Linked DNA regions of Danio rerio. The protein of the gene in region 2 purifies or fractionates together with the protein of the main gene of each other region. This does not show direct contact. Links are inferred from orthologs where the notes say so. Each region holds a gene or a part of one and is shown on either strand. Other genes may lie near its edges. The genes, in order: phb and vdac2.

Region 1 (12,295 bases), on a different chromosome or scaffold from region 2:
CTCTTATTTTGACACATATTTTGAGAAAATGCTTTGAAAGTTTTCAAAAATACGCTCTGGGCAAATTGACTACCCTCTCATTATGTTTGTGGCTGTTTTTGCCCCATTGACTTTCATTATAATGACATTATTTGATTGCAAAGCCATGATGACAGCATATAATCAGGCATCTTTGCTTGTTGCTGGTTTTCCCTATTGGGAAAAGGTACAATTTTAAACTTTTGACTGTTGATCATCAGTTGTAGTTAAAGAATTTAACTTAGGATCTAAGAATCCTTGTAGCAAACTTATGCGAGTCGTTTCAAGAAAACAACCATTCATTTGTGTTGTGTTTTATTTTAATTTGCTTTTATGCATTCATTTATTCTTCATTTAATTATTTTATTTAAAGCATATGATCATTAGTCATTCATAATTATGATTATATAATTTTATTGATCATTAGTTAATGATTTGATTATTATTATTGATTATTATTTGTCATTTTATTATGTTTTAATATTTTATTATTGCCATTTTCCTATAACTATTGCATCATTATAATTTCCATTTTTTCATATTGTTATAATCTTATGACTGTATGGATTTAAGCGACACTTGTTTTCATGAGTAAGTGAAGTTTTCTATTTCAAGGTCTGTATTGTCTCTGGACAATGTTGTAAAGCAGTAACTTTTCATTGCTGTTGCTTGTGGTATAATAACACTTGTTGGATTTATCCTGGTCAGAGTCTGAGCATTGAATCATACACAACTAAGATTATTCAATAAACTCTGCTCTTTCTTTATCATCATTACTTCGTCTCCTGCTTCTGCTCCTCTCTGGTTTTATCAGTCAACTCCTATATGGATAGGAGACTGTTAATTCAGTTAAATACTGGTTAACAGGTTTGGGTAATGGAATTTCTGTTGACTTGTTGTCCATATACATGGAGAAACTAACATTAGTTGACAAGATCTGGTGTCTGGGGCTGGATCGTATTTATCTGGTGTGGAGATGGTGGTCTAACATAGTCAATCAAAAATCAAAACTTCATTATAAGGGAAGTCAATGGGGCAAAAACAGCCACCAACATAACGGAAGGGTAGTCAATTTAAACAGACAGTACACAAGGGTTAAGTCAAACAATGCAAGATTTGTTTGTTTATTGGCACATCAGCAACTTATGGCTATTTCATGGCAAAATCAAGAGATAAAATACATACTACATAACAATAACTTCAATAACAACTTCATTCTTCAAAAAGTGTTGATATTAAATAAATGTTAAAAATAATTAAAAATCACAATTTATATAAAAAATAATTAGATATGATTTTCAGCTCAATTTTTGAAAACTAAAATAAAACAAAAAAAATCTTTTTTTTTTTGTTTTTAAAGCAGAAAGCGGAAACCACTTTATTTTATACAACAGTGATAACTTCATATAGTCAATTAAAACCATACAAAATCAGGTTAGAAATGTCTTATTTCATAGTGGATATTAAAAATTTTTTAATTTTGAACGCTACTGCTGAACGACATTTTTACAATTTGTATTACTGCAGTTAAACATTTTTATTACAACAAAAAAAAAAAGTAAAAAAAAAATCATGCTGTAATGCAACAGTTTGTCTACAAAGTGACATAACTTATTTGATAATTATAAAAGACTTTGACAGCTAAAGTCCCTGGGTTAAAAATGACAAACACACACAAATGAAAAGCGTAAACATTTAAACAAAACATGTTAAACAACATGTCTTAAATAAAAATTAATAATAATAAAAATAATAATAATAATTAAAAAAAAATAATAATCGCATTATGCCAGATCTAAATGGAAAAATGTATGAAAAAAACTGCATCTATTTGATCAAGAATAAAGAAAAAATAATAATATTGTAAAATATGTGATGTTTTCCTATGTATTACATTAAACTTTAAATCATATTAGTTAATATATTAATTTATATATTTTATGGATGAAGTTGAATTTATAAAAAATAACTCCACACTTCTGTCTCATGCAATCCTGCAGGGATCATTTAAATATGCTGATTGTCAACACACATCAACAGTTACGCTCCTTAATATTTTGTGGAAGCTGTGATATGATATTAAAGTCTTCTTTGATGAACAGAAAATCTATTTATATGGTTTTATAAGATGATTTTATTTTTATTCATTTTATTCTTTAAAATTATTAATCTTTTGACTCTCGATTAATTTCTATACATCTTTAATGAATAAAATCCCCCCTTTCTTTTAAAATCTGTTGCCGGTACCCACCACTACAGACTTCAGCACTTCAGTGGTGATGGAGGGCAGAACTCTCTCATCATAGTCCTCTCCGATACTGGTGAAAATGCGCGGCAGCTGTCCTGCAACCGGTCTGAACAGGATCCTCAGTGTGATGTTCACATTCTGCAAATCTGTCAAAGACAACGACAAACCATAAGCCAGTTTCCAATGTTTGATTAGTAAAGGTTAATGAAAACAGACTAAACATTTGAAAAATAACAATCATCATACTGACAAACAGATATTGGCTGTATCTGAAATATACCCTTATAGTGCGCTGTTTAAGGGAGCAGCCATTTCTAGTGGTGCCCAAAACCATAGAAAAATGTTCTGAAGTGCACCATATCAATCCCACAATGCACCACAATAACAAGTCTACAACCCATGTACACTCAACAGCTAGAAAATACCCAAAATGCACCATGAGAGCCAAATGAATTTCCATGTCTGACCACAACATGGCCTCCACAGTGGAATGGATGTAGGTTTCAAATTCTAATATTACTTAATTAAAATAACGATTATATACTTGACAGAAATTAAAATACTCTGTCTCATTACTAATAGGCTAAGTGTTAAAGAACTAAGTGTTATCACAGGGCCAGAACAAGAAGTTTAAAGACTAATCCATCTGAGGGATTTACCAACCAGCAAAGCACAAACAAGTGGACTATATTAGTGGACAGATGTAGGGAATAGTGCTTAAGGGGTGATTTAGGATAAAGCAATAGACAAACATAAGAGCAATCAGAAAAAGAGGATTGAAGTGAAGAGCTGAGCAGTTTGACGCACCTTTGCTACCGGTAATGACGGGTACGTTGCGTGGTCGAGACCTGCAGTCGAAGATGATTGGCTTCTGCACCCAGGGTATAAGGAAGTGTGTGCCTTCCCCAACAACAACATCCTGAACACCTCGAAACCTGTCAAAGATGACGGCCCTGTGTCCCGCATCCACTGCAATGTGAAACACAGGTCTGAACAACTGATACTACACACATTTGCAGTTCGGCCATAAATAACACATTTCAGTTACATAAAAGGTAAGTTACCCGTAATAAAAAAATTCAACCATCATTTATTTATCTACAATACAGCTGTTGCAAGACCGTTTGAGGAGGATATACTGAAGAAAGCAGCAGGAACTCGCAACAATAGCGGGACAATAAGTCAATTTTATCTGTTAACTCAAATGTGTTGTTAACAACCATTTAGTTCAGGGGTCGGCAACCCAAAATGTTGAAAGAGCCATATTGGACCAAAAAAAACAAAAAACAAATATGTTTGGAGCCGCAAAAAATGTAAAGCCTTATATAAGCCTTATAATGAAGGAAACACATGCTGTATCTATAGTAGCTATATTAGCTTACTATAAAAATGAGTAAGTTGGTTACAAATACATAATGAGCCTTCATGATTAAATAGCCACTGAAATCAGGTGGTTGGTGTTTATTTCGTTGTCATTTAAACACTTCAGCACAGCCTCTGGTCTTTCAGTGATATTAATTTGATCATTTCTTCTTGCGGCCCATCAGAGTTCATGCATAAAAGCGCATTGAATATCGGTCACATCACAGGCAATTGAGTATGCGGGCACTGAATTAATGTCCTTGGTTTGCTGATCGGTGATGTTACCTGCCATTTTAATAGCCCTTTCCTTCACTGTCTTAGCGGAGAGAGCGGTATATCTTTAATTTTTTTGTATTATCTGGGTTTTGTTTTTGAAATCTGCAAATAGGTGTTCTAATATGTTGATGAATGACTCCTTTATGTAGTCACCATCTGTGAACGGTTTTCCATGCTTTATTATCTCCCGGTTTGTTTACAACAGCCACCTGCCCGGCATCTTGCCCTGCTGATAGAAACCTGTGTCGCAGGCTATGACGCAAATCTTCGTTGACAGAAATGTTGAAATTAAATATTAATTCTACACACTTTTACAGCATTTGAAAACGTTAAAAATGTTTGTCCTCCAATAGAAATCATATTAAAACAAAAATATATACTAACCTTCCCCATCTTTTTGAACACTTTTGAAAAAACTTAAGGGAGCCACAAGGGCATCGCTAAAGAGCCGCATGTGGCTCTAGAGCCGCGGGTTGCTGACCCCTGATTTAGTTGAATGAAAGTCAGGTTTCAAACATGCAACGCTCCTCTATGACTCACCCCACTGACAAAGCTCCAGAATTTCTTTCCCCATACATGAGCTCATTTGTCCTATTTTGTCTGCTATGCCATTATAAATTGTGAAATAACCCATCTAAGAAAGCTTTAAGACCAAGCAAAATCTGACGCAAGTGAAGCCATCTTTCACTACTGACCTACTGTACTGTTGTTAAATAGAGAAAATATTTACAAGTAACTTTTAATCTAAATCCTGGACCTTATTTTTGAAAGAGCAGAAAAATAAAAAGACCAATAAAAAGGTGTTAAGCACCAAAAGTTCATTTTGAAGTCCCTGTGCATTTACTGTAGAAACACACAAACAACATAGCAGCGGGCAGAGAACTCATAGAGAAATGTTGTGCTTTATGAAATGAACAATAAAATAAAAATAAAAATAAAACGGCCACACAAGCACACCTGCTAAAAAAAAACAAAAAACAGCATGATTTAGAGTTCTCAGTCACACACACAGACACACAGACACACACAGACACACACACACACAGACACACACACAGACAGACACACAGACAGACAGACACACAGACAGACAGACACACACACACACACACACACAGACACACAGACACACAGACACACAGACACACAGACACACAGACACACAGACACACACACAGACACACACACAGACACACACAGACACACACACAGACACACACAGACACACACACACACACACACACACACACACACACACACACACGGGCTACATAAAGTGCAATTCGATAAATGTAATTTGATGAATGAAAAGTAAAATAAAAATTGACAAGCAAAATCTAGATGTTCCTCGACTTGGACAAAAAAATTTCCATGACTTTAAATATCTGAAATAAACATTTTAAAAATGAACTATTAAGATCCTTTTTTGCAGGATGAAAAATAAATATTGCTTTATAACCATTTTGAAACTGCCCCTTTTAGGCTTTGGTCCAAATTACGCCGCTTCTTTGTGACTGCCGCTTGAAATGTAAACTAGCTTTTGCTCTGTGCAAAGGCAGGTGGAGCTATAAATGTCAATGCGTCAGCATAGTGGCAGATTCATTAACAGTACTTAAGGAGATCTCTGTGAAAACTGAAAATGTGAAAGAAACGTCTCAAAAGAAGGCAGTCTATGGAGACTACAGTGTTCATTTGCGCATCTAAAACTTCACATTAATAGTGCCTTATAGTCAGTGTCATTATCTTCAGCAGGTGAACACTCTAAAGCCGCCTTTCCACTGCACATCACATTTGAACACGACTGTCGGAATACTCCCCCTTGTGGCAGTCGCACAGAACTTTCAGTTTTGTCGTGCACCATGGGAGAGAAGATGTTCTCACAGCGTCAGTAATAAAAGAGTGCAAAAGCAAGAGCCTTTACTCTCTGGGTGTCCACCATGGTTGAATGAATGAATCAACACTAGAAACTCAGACCGCTAAAAATGTTGGCGGGAATGTGGAAACAAACAAAAAAAAGTATTTTTATGACTCATTTATGAACAAAACATTTTTTAATATAGACTTTTTTCTGATTTAAGAAAAAAAAAAATCCTATTTCTCATCTCGCACGCACAGACCTGCCTGGACAACACTGAACTACATCACATGCGGTCGGTCGTATACGGTGTAGTCGCAGGAGTTCAAATATTTCCAACAGCAGCTCTGCAGCTCATATCGGATCCAAATTTTCCACATACGGAGAGAATCTGAACTCTACGCAGCTCCCGGACTACTCTCCATTGGAAATTCAACGTCTTCCAGTCTTTCGCTTGTCGTGTGCAGTGGAAGGGCGACTTAATGGCGAATGGCTGCTTCTCACTCAGGGCTGTTTATGCTAATGAGGCAGAGATCGTCACTAATGGACGGGCTTTCCCCCTCTGATGACAGGTACAATGTCAATCAAGGTGTTCATGCAGACTGTTTATCAAGTCTGATTATAATACTATTAATAAAACTATTGGATAATAATATAATATAATAAATAACTATAATAAAACTATTGTTTTACCATTACAAGCTGGTTATATTCACACACGGTTGCCACACAACTGCATTTAAACCACTTAGAAAACTGATATATGCACAAATGACCCCCTTTAAAACTCATGATATTCACAAAAATTCCAAGACCCATGGGAACTCTAAATATAGCAATATAAAGTTGCAATATTGTGCATTCCTATGACCTATCGACAGCCTCAATGTGGATAAAATTAACAACAAATTTAATTTGTTGCGTGTAAGCCCTTTAAATTGACCTTATTAGAATACTTATAGGAATTAAATGCTTTAACCATTGCTGCCATTGTTTTACAAAACACATCAGTAGTTATTACAACTCACCATTGTACAGAGCAGAGTTAACAACACCTCCTCCAATGGCCAAGGCCAATCCCAGCTTCCCAATGGACTCAAAGAGCTTCGCCATGACAACAAAGTGACAGTCCTGCGGGGAAAACACATTCATCTTCAGTATCTCATCATGGGTGATCTCTTGTGCATATAGAGCCCTTGGGTAATCAAACCAATGCTAGCCGGTTTAGCCTTGACTCTGACAGTGACACTGACATCAATGTAACGTGCTAATCTGATCTCACTCTAACCGGTCACTGGAAAAATCACAAGTAAAACTGCACAATATACACATATATACACCACTTAAAAACAATTGCTATTACAATAACACATGTGACACAGATTAACAGGCATTAATACAATCCGCAGTAGTGAACTTCACTCATTTATTAGCCTGCTACACGCTAATGATGCAACTGTCATGCAATAACGCCAACAAACACCCACACGTCGTGTTTATTTCACTTTCATACTGTCGCGTTATAATTACCGATGCTTTGTGAGTAAAACAAAAGCTTTAAGTTCGCATTTAAATGTAAGTCTCCTAAAACGTGAGCACTTACCCGCTGCGCTGAATGATCACAGTGACCTCCACCGGAGCCTGCGCAAGAAACACATGAGCAGGTGGAGCTTGCGCATGCGCAGAACAGTGTCAACATGAGTTTCTCCGATTGGATAGAGAGACACAAACCGAACGCCCTCTTGAGTAAGGAGGATTATTATTGGCGTACATCTCACGTTGCTTTAGAACGAGGTGGGTTCACTGCAATGCAATATGTGGGCGTTCCTTATTTCATTTTGTAATGACTTTAATTTATGTACTGTTATTGATACTTAAATGTCTTATGCTCAAGTTTATATCATGTTCTTTATTCATTTTTTCTTCTGTCTTTCTCTCTCTTATATTTTTTTATTGACAATGTAATTCATATTGCGTATTGTAAACAAATATTGCTACAAACTTGTCATGTGGGCGTTCTTTCGACTGCTTAAAGCTATAGTCCAACCACGTTCAAATACTGAAAATATGTTTTCAACATCGTTTAACACCTGTAACCATTGACTTCCATAGGAAAAACCAATAGTATGGAAGTCAATGGTTACCAGTTTCCAACATTTTTCAAAATAACTTATTTTGTGTTCAAAGAACGAAACACATTCATTTATTTTCTTTAGCTTAGTCCCTTTAAGGGTTGCCACAACAGAATGAACCGCCAACTTATCCAGCATATGTTTTACACAGTGGATGCCCTTCCAGCTGCAATCCATCACTGGGAAACACCCATACATACTCATTCACCTATACCACATGTTTTTGGGAGAAACTGGACCACCAAGGAGAAACCCACAACAACACGGGGAGAACATGCAAACTCCACACAGAAACGCCAACTGACCCAGCCAAGGCTCGAACCAGCAACCTTCTTGCTGTGAGGCAAATGTGCTACCCACTGCGCCACCGTGCAGTGAGCTTTTATTATTATTTTTATTTCATTGCTGTTGAAAGTGAGAGTGGTATAAAATTGCTACATTTTTCTACTGCAATTCCTGTACAGAGGCTTTACTACTAGTGTACCACATGCTGTATGAAAACAGAAAAGGACGTTTATTTATATAGCACTAATACCCCAAGATCATCAAGCATATCAAGACTCTTTGGATTCATCTTCAATGCCTCCTCCTCCATATTACCCCAGACATGCTCAATAATGTTCATCTCTGGTGGCTGGGCTGGCCATTCCAGGAGCACCTTGACCTTCTTTGCTTTCAGGATCTTTGATGTGGAGGCTGAAGTATGAGAAGGAGCGCTATCCTGTTGAACAATTTGCCTTCTCCTGTGGTTGGTAATGTAACGAGCAGCACAAATGTCTTGATACCTCAGGTTGTTGATGTTGCCATCCATCTCTTGCATGCCTCCACACTGAATGTAACCAAACCATGATTTTTTCTTAACCAAACTTGACTGATTTCTGTGAGAATCGTGGGTCTTTGTGGGTTCCAGTAGGTCTTCTGCAGTGTTTGTGATGATTGGGATGCAGCTCAACAGATGATTCATCTGAAAAACTACCTTCTGACACTTTTCCAAATGATCTACTAAAAGTCAACTAAATAAATTATTTGTTGCTTTTACAACTGGGATCAATGACAAGACTTTTGTGAGGTAGTGTAGGCCTGTGCTAATTAACCGCAGATTAACTATCTTTATATATAATAACTTTAATTAAGTAATATCTCTAAAAGTTAAAGTTATTAGTAACTAATAAAGTTAGCGCACTTAATAAACTTTTCTGATTTTGATTGTAATGCATCAAAGCCATCAAGTTACTTCTAATTGTGGTAAAAGCCACTGTAATACAGTGTATACAAGTTGAACATGGTATGTAGGTGAACCAAGTAGCCTATCTGAACATGGTGAACGACCCCTTTAAATTATAATGCTACTTCAAAACAAGGCAACATGTAGACATGCTATTATCCAGAATATGACTGTACACCCCCTACTACAGTAAGGCATGTGATGCAGTGATTACGGAAAGTCCTTCTTCAACCAGACATCTACACCCTCCTCCTCTTTTCCAGGACGACACACCCACCAGAAGCGAGTTATTATAACGCAGTGCGCAGGCTTTATGCAGTGCAGCTGTCTGTAAACTGACGGACACAAGCCCGCAGTTTTAAGGACGCATTCTTCTGAATCGGTAAGTCTCGATTATTTGTTTATTTGGCATTTGTCGGATCACGTTATAACTTTGAGCTATTTTAGGACAACTATAGTTAGCTAGCTGTGAATGTCTGCGAATGAGTCATGATGATGATGATGATGATGATGATGCGCGAATGAAACTTTATAGCAAAAGTAAACAAACGAATTACTAAATGACATTAGTTCAGGATTCATTCTCCGAATAAAATGTCGTACAGCATGATTGTGATCTTCATCACAATCAAATCAAATAAACAGCTCCTCAGTAATTGAAGCGCTTTACTGTTCTGCCCCGGTTACCTCAGGCTGTTATTTATTTAGGCTGTATCGTGGTGTTCCTGTATTTACAACAGATCGTGAAAAGGCAATTCTTGGATTTCCGCGTTCATCGCCGTTCACTATCGTGTTTTACGATTGGTTCACCTGGCCACTGACGTCACAGCGCACGGAAGATTTAATCAATTGATTGATGTTTGTTTTTATGGGTGTTGCTGAGAGATTGAACTTCTAACATGCAGCTTTACATACCATACACTAAATATACCAGGTCTTACAGAAATGAAGATACGTTGATGCTTTTCCCAAATGTAGCCATAGTTAATAGTTAATTAAACACATTGTTGTTATGTTTATTTGGTCATTTTTGTCAGATACTGTCTTAAGATGGTAAATGCATTTGGTAAATGCCATTAAAATGTCTCAGTGGTATACAGTAGACTTTTAAATAAATTAATTAACTAATTTATTCTGTATATATATATATATATATATATATATATATATATATATATATATATATATATATATATATATATATCAGGGTGTCCACAAGGTCTTAAAATGTCTTAACTCTCAAAAACTAACTTTAGGCCTTAAAAAGTCTTACATTGACCTTAATATTGTGTTGTAGGTCTTAAATTATGTTAATCATGTCTTAATTTTCCTACTGTATGTCCAAGTACAGCGAATCAATCACTGACAATCCATCTTAAAGCTATACTTGTTTTTATTTAAGATATACAAGTCACAACAGCTGTTAGACATGTTTACAGCAAATTCTCCTAATTGAATTCCTTAAGCAGGGAAAGAGTACTAAAGCAACATATCCCTTAACATAATCTTCCATTAATATAAAAACTATTTACTGAAGTAACTGGGCCAAATCCTTAGTGTTTAGCCCTGTATAAGTCAAAAATTACATTCATAATGGTCTAAAAGTTCCTTAAGTCTTTAATTTGACTTAAAGAAACCTGCAGAAACCCTGATATATATTCATTCATTCATTCATTCATTCATTTTCTTTTCGGCTTCGTACCTTTATTAATCAGGGGTCGCCACAGTGGAATGAACCGTCATATATATATATATATATATATATATATATATATATATATATATATATATTTCTTTCTAAATTTCAATAGAATAGATTTTCCTAAATTAGTTAAGTGGTAGATTGATCTTGTTATATCTAATGCAAAAAGATTAGGGCTCCGCCAATTGACATGAATAATAAGATACACTACGGGTCAAAAGTTTGGGGTCAGCAGGATTTTTAAATGTTTTAAAATAAGCTTATCCTGCCCACCAAGGCTGCATTTATTTAATCAAAATACAGTTCAAATTGTAAAATTGTGAATGTTATTGCACTGTAAAATTACTGTTCAAAAGTAGTTTATAATTTAGTTTAAAGTTATTTTTAAGATGAATTTTCAGCTTCATTTCTGCAGTCTTCAGAGACTGAAAGTAAAAATCACTCTAATAAAAAAAATAAAAAATAAAAATAATAATAATTATTATTATTATTATTAATGCTAATAGTAATAAAATCAATAATGACTGGAGTAATAACTATATTATTTAAAATTATATTGTTATTTAAAATTGTCATTAATTTTAAACAATTTTTTACATTTAATAAATGCCACCTTGACGAACAGAATAATTTTAATAATAAGAATTGATGAACAGAATAATAACCCCAAACTTTTGAGCGGTAGTCTATATATTTTTTTTTCATAAAAATAAAGCAGTGATGTCCATTATAATGCATAAAGAGTCTAAAATATTTATCATGAGATTACCCTTCTTTAATGAGCCATTAGATAACATTGCATCACTTTATTTGCGAACTTCATTCTTACCTGATATCTTTATTTTAGGGAGTGTTGATAGTGTTGTGCAACATTTTAAAAAAAGGGTGTAGGAATTGTGTGGGTGTTCGTAAAAAGAGCCTTGAATGACACAGACAACGTTGCAGCCTAAAACCAATCGCTTCAAATTGATCAAATCAGGAACTAATCAACATATAATCAGCTATAATCTCAGTATTGAAAGACCACAAGCTAAACTGTCATCTCGACACAGCAGCGTTATCATGAAATAGCCCTAAAGAGATAAGAAACTGAGGTGTGTTCACTCATTAAACTTGCTGATGTTAACATTATGGACTTTTTTGTGCATAATACAAACTGGCATACACTGCTAAGGCGCTGTAAGTCTGTAGAGCAAATACAAACTCTCATAAACATTTAGTGTAACACGTGATCCCCCATATAGAAATACAACACATGGAAATATATGCAAATTACATATATGACATAGAATTTTTCTATTTGTTTGCAAATGATGTTTAACAGAGGAAGGAATTTTTCACAGTATATCCTATAATATTTTTTCTTCTGAAGAAAGTCTTATTTGTTTTATTTAGGCTAGAATAAAAGCAGCGTCTAATTTAAAAAAAAACATTTTAGGGTCAAAATTATTAGCCCCCTTAAGCAATATATTTTTCA
Region 2 (10,976 bases):
TTTAAGCTGTTTTTTTTTTTCAGCAGGGATAGGCCTAGGTAACTAAAAATACACTTCGACTGCACATTTTTCTCTACCTTGAGTACAACATGAAATGAAGTCATGCTTTTAAAATAATAGCTAAAATAAACATCAACCTGTTTGCTGTAGCAGAAAGCAAGACTCATGCAGATAAATTTGAACTTTTCCAGACGGCTTTTCTTCTCTAGCTTTGGTGAGCAAATGTGAATTGCAACCTTAGTTTGCTGTTATTAGCTGACAGGACAATAATTGATAAGCTATACTCTTCTTTTACTGAAGCCCATCTGGTTCAAGGTATGTGTTCAGAGATGCTCTTTTGCAGTCTTTTTTAATTACGTCAGGTCTTTTAAGTTATTGTTGCCTCCATCCACTCAAACCAATCCAACACAGGCATTTACACCTACAGAACTGGCCCTCACTGGATGGTGGTTGTTTTTTGGACAATTCTCTGTGGCCTAAACCCTGAGGTCTTAAGGCAGTTAAAATCAAAGTACAATTTCTAAAATCACTTATATTTCTTTTGTTGTGCATTATAATATTGGGTTGGACTTGCTAACATCTTCATTGTTTAAATGCATTCGAGTTGCCATCATTTGATTAGCTGATTAATGCTAGATATTCGCATTAACAAATGAACCCAATAAAATGACCAATGTGTGCAAATGAATTAATACAGTACTTATTCCTTGATAGAAAATAAATAAATGACAGGAAATGATCAGGAACACTTGATTTTCTGCACATATGTGCATACAGTAAAAGAGAAACCACATTAAAATATTTTATTTGTAACCAATAAAACACAACCTGTCTGTGAGAACCAGAAGTCACTGCACAATTATATTTTAGTACTATGACGTATTTCCAGGTAAAAAAGAATATTAAGGGGCGGGGTTTTATTTGCAATCATTTACATTAACGGTTGGAGGGCGTGGCTAAGCATATTTCACCTAAGCCATCATCAGTTAAGAACTGTAGAAGCAGAAGCAAATGGTCAGGTTTGATTAAAAACGCTAACAATGGCCTCTGACAAAATAAACTAAGTTTTACACTCATTTAAACATTGATATGTCAAAAAAGGTCAAATAAATCAGACTGAAAGGCCATTTAATATTAAAATAATTATCCAAACAAAAAGAGTACAAGTCTTTTACTTTTGCATGACAAACTTCTGTTCAAAGTTAGATATAAAGAACAGAATATTTGCAAAAAATCCATTTTATCTTTAAAATCTCAATTACGCAGTATTTTTGGTAATTTAAGCACTATTTTTCTCTGTGACATGTCCACTACCCTATTACAGTAGATCTCCTTAAGAGTTTGAGCTAGGGTTTATGTTACGAGAGGCTATTCGCTTTGTAAGCAACAACAACCGTATGGTAAGATGTGTTCAAAGAGTTTATTGAAAAGTTCAAACATACACATAAGGACCTCTGAGGTGTTGTAAAGCATGGGAATCAGGGCAACACCGGGAGCAAAAGGTACTGAACTCAAACCACACCCACAAGACCCGTCCCGCCATCACAGGGAGCCACGGAGAGTCATCTGTGCTGCAAATGAAAAACAGAAGGCCAGCCATGCCAGCTCACGGGCAACAGCACTCACCACCCCATTAGGCTACCCAAAAACTGCTCAGCTCAAGGGCAGACTTCACCTGCAAGATAAACTCTGGATGGCTGCCCGAGGGAAAGTAAACTGCTTAAAGCTCGTCCTTGCGTGCATGGAAAGAAGAAAACGGTATAACAGTATTTAAATAATATCAGGTAGAACCTTTAATATCGAGTAAAGTGGTTTGCTTGAATCGCAATCAGACGACGAAGGAATATCAGATACAATACAAAGGATGAAATCAGAGACAGTTTTGTCACAAACCCACCACCGTCTAACTGAAGAGGGAGCAACACATCAGGACGCCACAGATGCCCTCTATCCCAGAGCGCATTTCATTACTGTGGAAGTGCTGGAGAGGGATGGCCAAATTAATTTGTAGCTGAATGTCTATGAGAGAACAACTACAAACGAAAAACAAACATAAGGACCTGAAGGGGACGAAAAAGAAACCACATGACATGATCGCTTTTGATGAGCCTTTGCACACATCCCATCCCGATTCCCCCTGCTGGTTGCTGCTGGAGTTAGATTTAAGGCCAGATTTCTCTGATATTCCCTTGTCCCTGATGTTCAGCAGAAGCAGGTTTAAGCCTCCAGCTCCAGGCCCAAGCCCAGCTTGTGGCCACCGGAATTGATGCTCTTCCCATCAACCAGGGCAGACAGGGTCAACTTGATACCTGAAAAACACCAAAGTTTTTAAAAATCACAAGAGTTTTACAACATAAATGCAAAACTAAATAACGAATGGCATGTTTCCACTGAGCAGTACAGAAGTGACAGGAATGGACCCGTGAACAACAATTGTATTATAGGTCATTGATTATGGTGTAATGTTTTGCCTGTATATTTAATAGTGGTGCTATATGTTGTCGTTCCCCTGACTTGAAATGTGATGTATACTGTAAACCAACCAGCTTTCTGCAGGGAGTCTAGCTCCATCCTTTTGGCAACATATTGTTGTGCTTGATACCCTTATAGAGCGTTCACACCAGACGCAGCTTATAATTATAAATATTTGTCTGTAATTAGAGATGAAGCATTTTCAGTTTGGCGAGAATGTCCACCAAAATTCCGTTTTTTCAACTTGACCCATTCAAATCACGCATTAAGCCAACCCTGAATTCTCAGTGTCATTTACTCCATTTATGCCATCTCATTAGCATAAATAGCGCTGCAGGATGTCTGATTGCATCCATGGACTGACTTGATGTAAATGTACCATTACAAAAGCATAAAATACAAAATAAATTATATATATATATATATATATATATATATATATATATATATATATATATATATACATATACACACACACACATACATACATATATACACACACACTTTTTTTTAAATAATTAAATAATGAATTAAATTTTTTTATAAATAAACACACACACACACACACACACACACACATTTTATTTATTTTTAATTCATTATTAAATTCATTAGATACATCACAATGGAAATGGATATAAATGGTTATTGTATCGCTGGAAATGTACCTGCTGCTCAGTGGAGACTAGACAAAATGTTAAGTTTCAAATGAGGTTATTTTTCAAATTGTATTGTTTAATTTGTTCTGCTTTATTTTATTTTAAATCACGGTTTGAATAAACAAATAATAATTTATAGCAAACATGACAAAGGGTAAAAAAACATTGAGTATGGACATGTGTTTCACTGCTAAAGAGTTATTCAGACACATTTTTGAATGCCATTTTACAATGCAAATAAATAAACAAACAAACTAACGAGTCATTGGTGTAGTGTTGCAAGTCGTCATTTTGCATTTGAACGGTCCAGGCTTTAAGTTCACAACTGATATCTGAACTAAATGTTTTATATTTTGTCTAAGAAATGCTTAGAAATCTTCATAGTTCTTGTTCTTAACATACTGTGGATGTTAAAGTCAAGTTTGCACAATACTTGTGGTCACAATTCATGCATCTTTTATGCAAGTTATTAATATTTACACCAGGTCGACCACTTCAGGAGTACTCTTTAACCAGTTAAAACAATTTGAGGGCTAATGCATTTTTTACACGCAAGTCACTCTACTATAAAAACAATCTATAGGTTTCAGAACCCAAACGAGGCTGCTGGATTTTATCCCAGTATGTGCAACTACAGACCAACTCTGCAGAATTTGATCAATCAAATCTAAAACCATTAACACTGAATTGTATTTAAGCTTTAATAACTGAAGTTATATAGTGTGGGTGTTATATGGTTTAACTGAACAAGGGATCAAAACAATGCCTTTCATGAATAAATTTGCATATTTAAATAATGACAGAAAAAAAAAAACATCACTGTACCTGGTCTCAGAGATTGAGTGTAACCAACACCAACAAGGCTGGTGTTATTCACTTTAGCCTGTTGAAAAAAGAGAAAACATTGACTTATTTCTAGAGGCAAAAGAAAACCACAAACACATTTTCAACAGAAGCTTTCATTAGCTTCTTGTGATTCAACTATTTTGATTTAGTCATCATCTGATCCTCAACAAAATAGAATAAGAAATTATATTGAGTTGTTGGAAAATACTGTACAAAGAATTGATTTCTTTATTCAACTGTTTCAAAATATATCCCCTTTGTTCAACAAGATAAATCACAGGCAGCTCAGAGGCCTTTGTTTACACCATAGCAGCATTTACTTACCATAATACAAACACTTATTTCATTTAAGGTCCTAGTACAAAACACTGTTATTAGTTGTATTGACAAATTAACTAACACAAATTAGCTGTATTGAAAGACAATTTTAAAATGCAAAACAAAAAAAAGAAAAAAAAAGAAAAAAAGAAAAGCCTTTGGTCTTTTTGGCCTTGGCTGTTTATTTAATAGTTTAATTCCTGCATGTGCTTATTTGCAATGCAAGCATTTTTCAATTGCATATAAATGGCAGTGTGGGTTAATATTAACCAATTTATAATGTTGATTACAAATCATTTGAGAAAGACCCTGATTAGATTAGGTCACTTGAATAAACTCCTGTCTTCTGCTGAAACCAAATTGACTTTTAGTAAAAAAAATTTTTTAAAAACGTGCCGTTTACTCACACTGATGGAGGCGTCTTTGTCCAGCTGATACTTGGCAGCAATTCCAAAGCGTGTGCTGTTGCTTCCTGCTGTCCAGGCCAGATTCACCGCTGTCTCCAGCTTATCACTCACTTTTTGATAGATGGAACCACCAAACTCTGAGCCATCATTACTGCAGAGAGCGAGAGAGATACAGAAAATCAATTAATCACTGAAAATATATTGTAAAAAAACAAAAATTAAAAATTAAACCAGGAATCATTTTCTAGAAGCACATTACCTCACATGAGTTTATACAGGAATCAGAGTAAAATTCAATACATTTTAGCCCTTTTTTAAGACTCTTTCCATACATTTTAATACCTTAAAAACTATCAACTGGACACACTGGTGAGATTTTAACTTGCAGTATATTTAATAAATATTAATGTAAGAAACTAATCTAAAGCTTAAACACTATTCATATACTGAATACAAATCTATTAAATCTTGCTCATTCAGCAGGTTGGCGCCTATAGAACTGCAGAAATAATGGTGTTGCCTTTATTATTTCAGTAAACAAAGCAGCATGATGTCAAATATAGTAGGATTTCATTGATTTTACAAACTACACAGCATCCTGATATTCGCTGATTTAATTCAGGCAACCTTTAGTGTACAGGCATACATTGCACAATAATTATATCAAAAATGGTATGAAATTTAATACCTTTCAAAATAGCATTTAAGACTAATACTTTTTAGGGCCTTAAATATCTCTACATTGATTTATCAACTTTAAATACTTTATAAGACCCTGCTTGTAACCATATATGTACAAACTTTTGACATAAATTTTATTTTTTTTTTTTATAGTTTATATACATATTTTATACATAAAAACAATGGATCAACAAAAGTTAAGAAAAAGAATGGTTCACAACTTTGATGAAAGGTTTTGATATGAAGAGTTCAGATGCAAAAGTCGATAACAGTTTTTTTGCACAAGATGTTAAACAGCACTTGCCTTTGACAGCAAAAGCCGCTATATCCCGAGAACCAAACAGAAGATGCAAATCGAATCATATGTTTTCAATGTAGCAGTGCGCTGAAACGCCGGCTTTTAGGAAGAGCCGTTAAACAGAATGTTAAACAGTGTCAGTATAACACCAGCCTATAATGTTGAATATCATGCAAGAGGGAATTTGATAATGACAAAATGTCTGATTTTACCAGTAGAAAAAAATTGGTCTAATAATGTTGTCAATGACAGATTACAAGCATAAGTCTTAAACATGATAATTGAACATCAGAATTATGAATAGTTTTATTCTGATGTCATCACTTTACTGTGCAATGACCAGGACAAATTGAATGTCTGTTCAAGATCACTATTCCAAGTCTATACAAAATTTAGCATTGTAACCAACAGTAGACGTATTATAGTTTTTTACCGTATGTTTGAGAAATAATAATAATAGCCGACTCATATTAACCTTTTTTTACATCAACAGAATCGTGAGAAACTTGTGATCTTTATTTTAAGCAACAAAAAAAAAAAAAAAAAAAAAAAAAAAAAAAAAAAAAAGAAGAAGAAATCGCGATTCTCATTTTGGCCAAAATCATGCAGCTCTACTATTGACCTTATTCTAAAATGCGGAAGTGCGCCTGTTTTCGCGATTGTCTTAGAACTTCCGATTCAGTCGCCTATAGGAGAAATGACTAGGAATAATAAACGGCAGAAAATGGCCAAACTACTTGCTCAACAAACAAATGTTTGCATGACTACACAGACCAAGTAGCATATTATAATAAGAAAATATTTAATTGCAACATCAAGCAGCGTAACGAGCAGTTGTTAACGTCAAAAAATGAATGGAAGTGAATGTGACCGGAAGTCGCGAGACAAAAAGATTCAAATGGCAGCGCCCGCTCGACAGCTGAGAATAAGGTGAATACGCCTAATAAGCTTTTTATATTATTGGACTATGCAGATATTGATGTTTCAATGTTTTTACAAAACATTATTTGAATCTAACAAGCTTATTTTACATTATTCTACTTGCATTAAATCTAAATCCCAAATATCAGAAATGACAACAGATCGTTAAGATTTAATGTCAGTTTTTTAATGTTATTGATTGATGCATCTACTTGACAGATTTCATTCATTCATTTTCCTTTTTTTTCCTGGTTTAATCACAACACAATGAACTGCCACTTGACAGATATATATTTATATATATATTTATTTATGTATTTATTTTTTTTAGGTGGTTTGTGTAATATGTTTTATGTTTGGTAAAATAATTTCTAATATTATCTTAAGTGATTTTCAACTAATTACACTATCTTGTCCCAATTGTGGATGCTCATTTACAAGAAAAGAGGTTAAATAGATTTAGAGGGTTTTGCATCTGAACTCTTCATATTTTTAAGCTGTCCATATACGGCAAATTAATTAAAACACAACAACACATCACCCTGGTGACATGCTGTTAAACTTCCATGTCAACTCTGTGTACATAATGTCATTATATCAACACTTCCTTGCACTAAAATAAACACAAATCCCAGTCACATGCACTTAGAATGATGTAGTAATGTTGGAGGACTCACACATTAGTGTGCAGCTGGAAGTCTCCCGTTTTGTAGCCTACAGCAAAGTTGTTCTGGGTCATCTTGGACTTGGCGGTGTCGAAGGACATCTGGTAACCGGCGAGCCATCCTTCGTAACCGACCACTGCAGCGCCGTGGATAGTTGGGCCGGCAAAGTCGAAGTCAACATCACATCCCAGGTTGACAAACTCACGCTTGTATGCGGTCTTGACTTTGCCACTCTTTTTCCTGTTCATGAGACAAAAGTAAACAATTCGGCATCCTATTTAGTTTACAAGAGGTATTTTAAACAAAGATTATTCAGCTTTTGACTAGCAATAAAACCAAACCGATTTGCAGAAATATAAACTGTTTAGACTGTAATATTCCTTCTCATCAAACAAGTGACAAAATTAGTTTAATAAATAACTTCTCTTTGGAACTTTTTAGACCACTAAAAAAAATCAAAAGTGCAAAAGATTTGATATCAGACTATCTATTTAATTTACTATTACAGCAGTTCTTAATGTTAATATTTTGTTTTTATATGTTTAGTCACCATCCATTTTAGAATAGAATAAAAAAGTGCTTCTGTCATAGACAAGCTAGTGTTTATTTATATACATATTTAGCTTGATTTGCTGATTTAGCTTGATCTGTTTCTCCATATTCGATTTATGAATATGACTTCGGGACCATCGTGCAATAAACCATAAACAAAGCCATATACAAAGTAAAATAACCTGCTGCTAAATATGTACTAGTCAGAATTCAAGACACAGACACATGCCAAAGGACAAGCTGCAAATACCACAGTGAAGGACAATGTCACTTTATAAACCACTTAAAGGGATAGTTCACAAAAAATTGACATCATTCATTCACCTTCTGCTTGTTCCAAGCTTGTACTTTTTCTGTTGAAACCTAAAGATAACTTGAAAACTTCTATAGCACACAGTAGTCAAACAATTGAGGAGGACCAAATCCTTTTATCGAAGTTGTTCTAAAACTATTCAACAGTACTCATTATTGTTTTAGGACAATTTTTAAAAACGTTTTTGATCCACTTCAAACGTTGAATCAATCGATCAATCAATCAATCAAATCTATGTATCTACATTATCTAGCTATCTACAGTATCTATCCATCACTATGAATGTTAATGGCTACTTATTGCTCTTGAGCAGAGATGCCCAAACATTCTTATGAAGGGCCAAAAATTAAATCTGATTGAGAGCTGTGGGCCAAAGGTAAAAAGCAAACTGTAATTAATCAAAGTTGTCAATTTCATAATTTATTTCATACTGTTTAAAAATAAAAATTACTTTAACCGTATTACCTAATGCATTATATATATTTATTCATCCTATAATAATGTTGATACAATAAAAACACTAGAATACAGTGCTGTACACACTGGTCAAGTTACGGTCAAGTGATAGCATTTACATAAACAAAAATATCCGATTCATTTACAACATTTAACTGAAACATTTAATTTTCATAAGCTTTTTTTGTAGCTTAACCATAAAACAAACAAAACGTTAAGTTACTTTTAATCAGAAATGACAATATTGGTTAAATCTATATAAATAAATACATGTCATTCTCTCCTTTTAGTTGAGACGGTGGGCTAAATTAAAGATTACCATGGGCCACCTTTAGCCTGTGTGCCCTAGTGAGGGTTATTAAATGATAACAAAAAGTTCCTTTTTGGATGAACCATCACTTTAATGCTCAAGTTACAGTTAAATTTAAAGACTAGCAAAAACAAAACAGCAAACCATGGCTCATTTTGCAGAGTCTGCACTAATACAAGAGCACACAGCACTGCTGGTAAAATACACTACCAGTCAAAAGCCTGATGTCACTACGATTGTTTTTTCAAGACCTCTTAAGAACTTAAATCTACTAAAATGACAAACAAAGCCAGTAAAAAGAAATATTTCTGTCATAAACATCTCTAACTGACTTAATATTAAGCAAATAAAACTGTGAAAACTTTTTGCCACATGATCTACAGCCGCTGTCATGAGCCACACAGGCCTATACATCAGTAAAGGCCATGTCAACGTGACTGTCATCTGAGAGCACAAAGCCATACGATAGCAGACAGGTGCCACTTTCCTGACCGATTTACACCACCACTATCACTTGTGTGAAAGTAACCTTGAGGTGTTCATCCCTGCACAACAAAAGACAACTAACAGTCATCTAGCTTTGTCTGCAATCACACTCGGGTACCTATTTGGAACAAGTGATTGGACTATGTTTTAAAGTAATTAGGATCAGTGGTGTTGTTGCCAATCACTTCAGAATCTTAGTAGCAAGTAGTCATTTTACTTTTACCTCATTTTCACCTACTATATATCAGGGAAGAATGCTATTTCAGATGCAGCCATGGTGACACTCAAATTGCTCAATACAATATTGAGTTACATTCCACCACGTGTCAATATAGCGTTTCTCACCTCCTCTGAACCAACTACAAAACATATTAATGCTTAAAATAAATGTGAGAAATTAATATACCCTGTGTTTGGTGAGAAGGTTGTGTCAAAGGTCAGTTTCAGTCCCTTTGCGATCTAAAAAAAAGAGAGAAAGGGGATTATAAAGTGCTATTCATGCTAAAAATAACAGACTTCGATTGGTTACTATTCAGTGCTGGAAAAAGCATTCAGACCTGGTCTTCAATGTTGATCTCTGTGCCCAGGGTGTTGTCGGTATTCCACTTCTCTGTGAAGGTCAGGCCATATTCAGACCTCTTGTATTTGGTTTCCAGGCTCCCAACCACTTTGCTGGTGTCAGTGTTGGAGGAACCAGAGGTCTTGAATTCCTATACAGACAGGAAAGGAACATATTTTAAGTTGGTGTAAGGTGTCACGCTTAATGACTTGATAACTAATTATTAAATAATTAAACAGAGGTCTAGGGTTTTGCAATGTGATGACTAAATATAACTAATTTAATAACAATAATTAATGATTTGTTAGTATAAGTAGATTCACAATATTTGTATTAACTTATTAACAAAATTGAGTCTCACCACTCCACTGGCTGATTTTGTCTTGACATCGAGCTTCACCATACCGAATCCTTAAAAAAAAAAATGAAAGAAATGCTTTGAACAAATACAGAAAACTAAAAAACATTTTTTTCCCAAGAGACATCATGAATTATTAAATACTTTACCATATCCTTTGTTAAAGATGTCTTTGGCAGATTTGCCAAGATCAGCATATGCTGGGGGAACGGCCATTTTATCTAATTAAAACAGAGTGTGCAAAGATCATTAGTGGGTCGGAAGAACACCATAACACTAAACACCTGTGCAAAAACCAAAAAAACAGTGTAAAAAAAAAAAAAAAAAAAAACTGTACGAAAGTTATTTTTCTGAACCAAGCAACAGTGGGATGTTTTGGGTGGTCTACAGTATGTCTAGCTTTCCATGGTTTATCACCATGTCCTATCAGTATGATAAATGACCCAGCCTGAAAGCAGCTGCTGCACTCAAGCTAATCTGAACTGACAGCAGGCCGCACCTAACTGAGTCACAGAGCAAGGAAGTGACGTCCCGATTCACTCCCACAGACACACACATTTAGACGTGTGCAAGTAAGCAGAAGAAGCAGTTGTGTGAATAGCAATGAGTGATCGTGGTGGAGGCTCACTGAACAACTAACAAAATCTGTGCGCTCTGAATAATAGTTTACAAATG

The links.
Region 1: the proteins of vdac2 (region 2) and phb purify together in Homo sapiens (affinity purification with mass spectrometry; 4 studies listed by BioGRID, with this or other methods). This does not show direct contact. The link is inferred for Danio rerio from reciprocal best matches to the Homo sapiens genes VDAC2 and PHB1.

Annotation. Positions count from the first base shown.
Region 1 is NC_133178.1:14,397,423-14,409,717, reverse strand, and holds the start of phb (prohibitin 1), read right to left. Parts: upstream 7,389-12,295; 5' UTR 7,363-7,388; intron 6,891-7,362; 5' UTR 6,873-6,890; coding exon 6,788-6,872; intron 3,236-6,787; coding exon 3,074-3,235; intron 2,413-3,073; coding exon 2,270-2,412; intron 1-2,269.
Region 2 is NC_133188.1:19,698,340-19,709,315, forward strand, and holds the end of vdac2 (voltage-dependent anion-selective channel protein 2), read right to left. Parts: intron 10,523-10,976; 5' UTR 10,518-10,522; coding exon 10,451-10,517; intron 10,355-10,450; coding exon 10,305-10,354; intron 10,095-10,304; coding exon 9,942-10,094; intron 9,844-9,941; coding exon 9,791-9,843; intron 8,390-9,790; exon of another isoform or gene 7,516-8,389; coding exon of another isoform or gene 7,508-7,515; coding exon 7,280-7,507; intron 4,854-7,279; coding exon 4,703-4,853; intron 4,015-4,702; coding exon 3,957-4,014; intron 2,310-3,956; coding exon 2,218-2,309; 3' UTR 1,402-2,217; downstream 1-1,401. UniProt on the Homo sapiens protein: Non-selective voltage-gated ion channel that mediates the transport of anions and cations through the mitochondrion outer membrane and plasma membrane.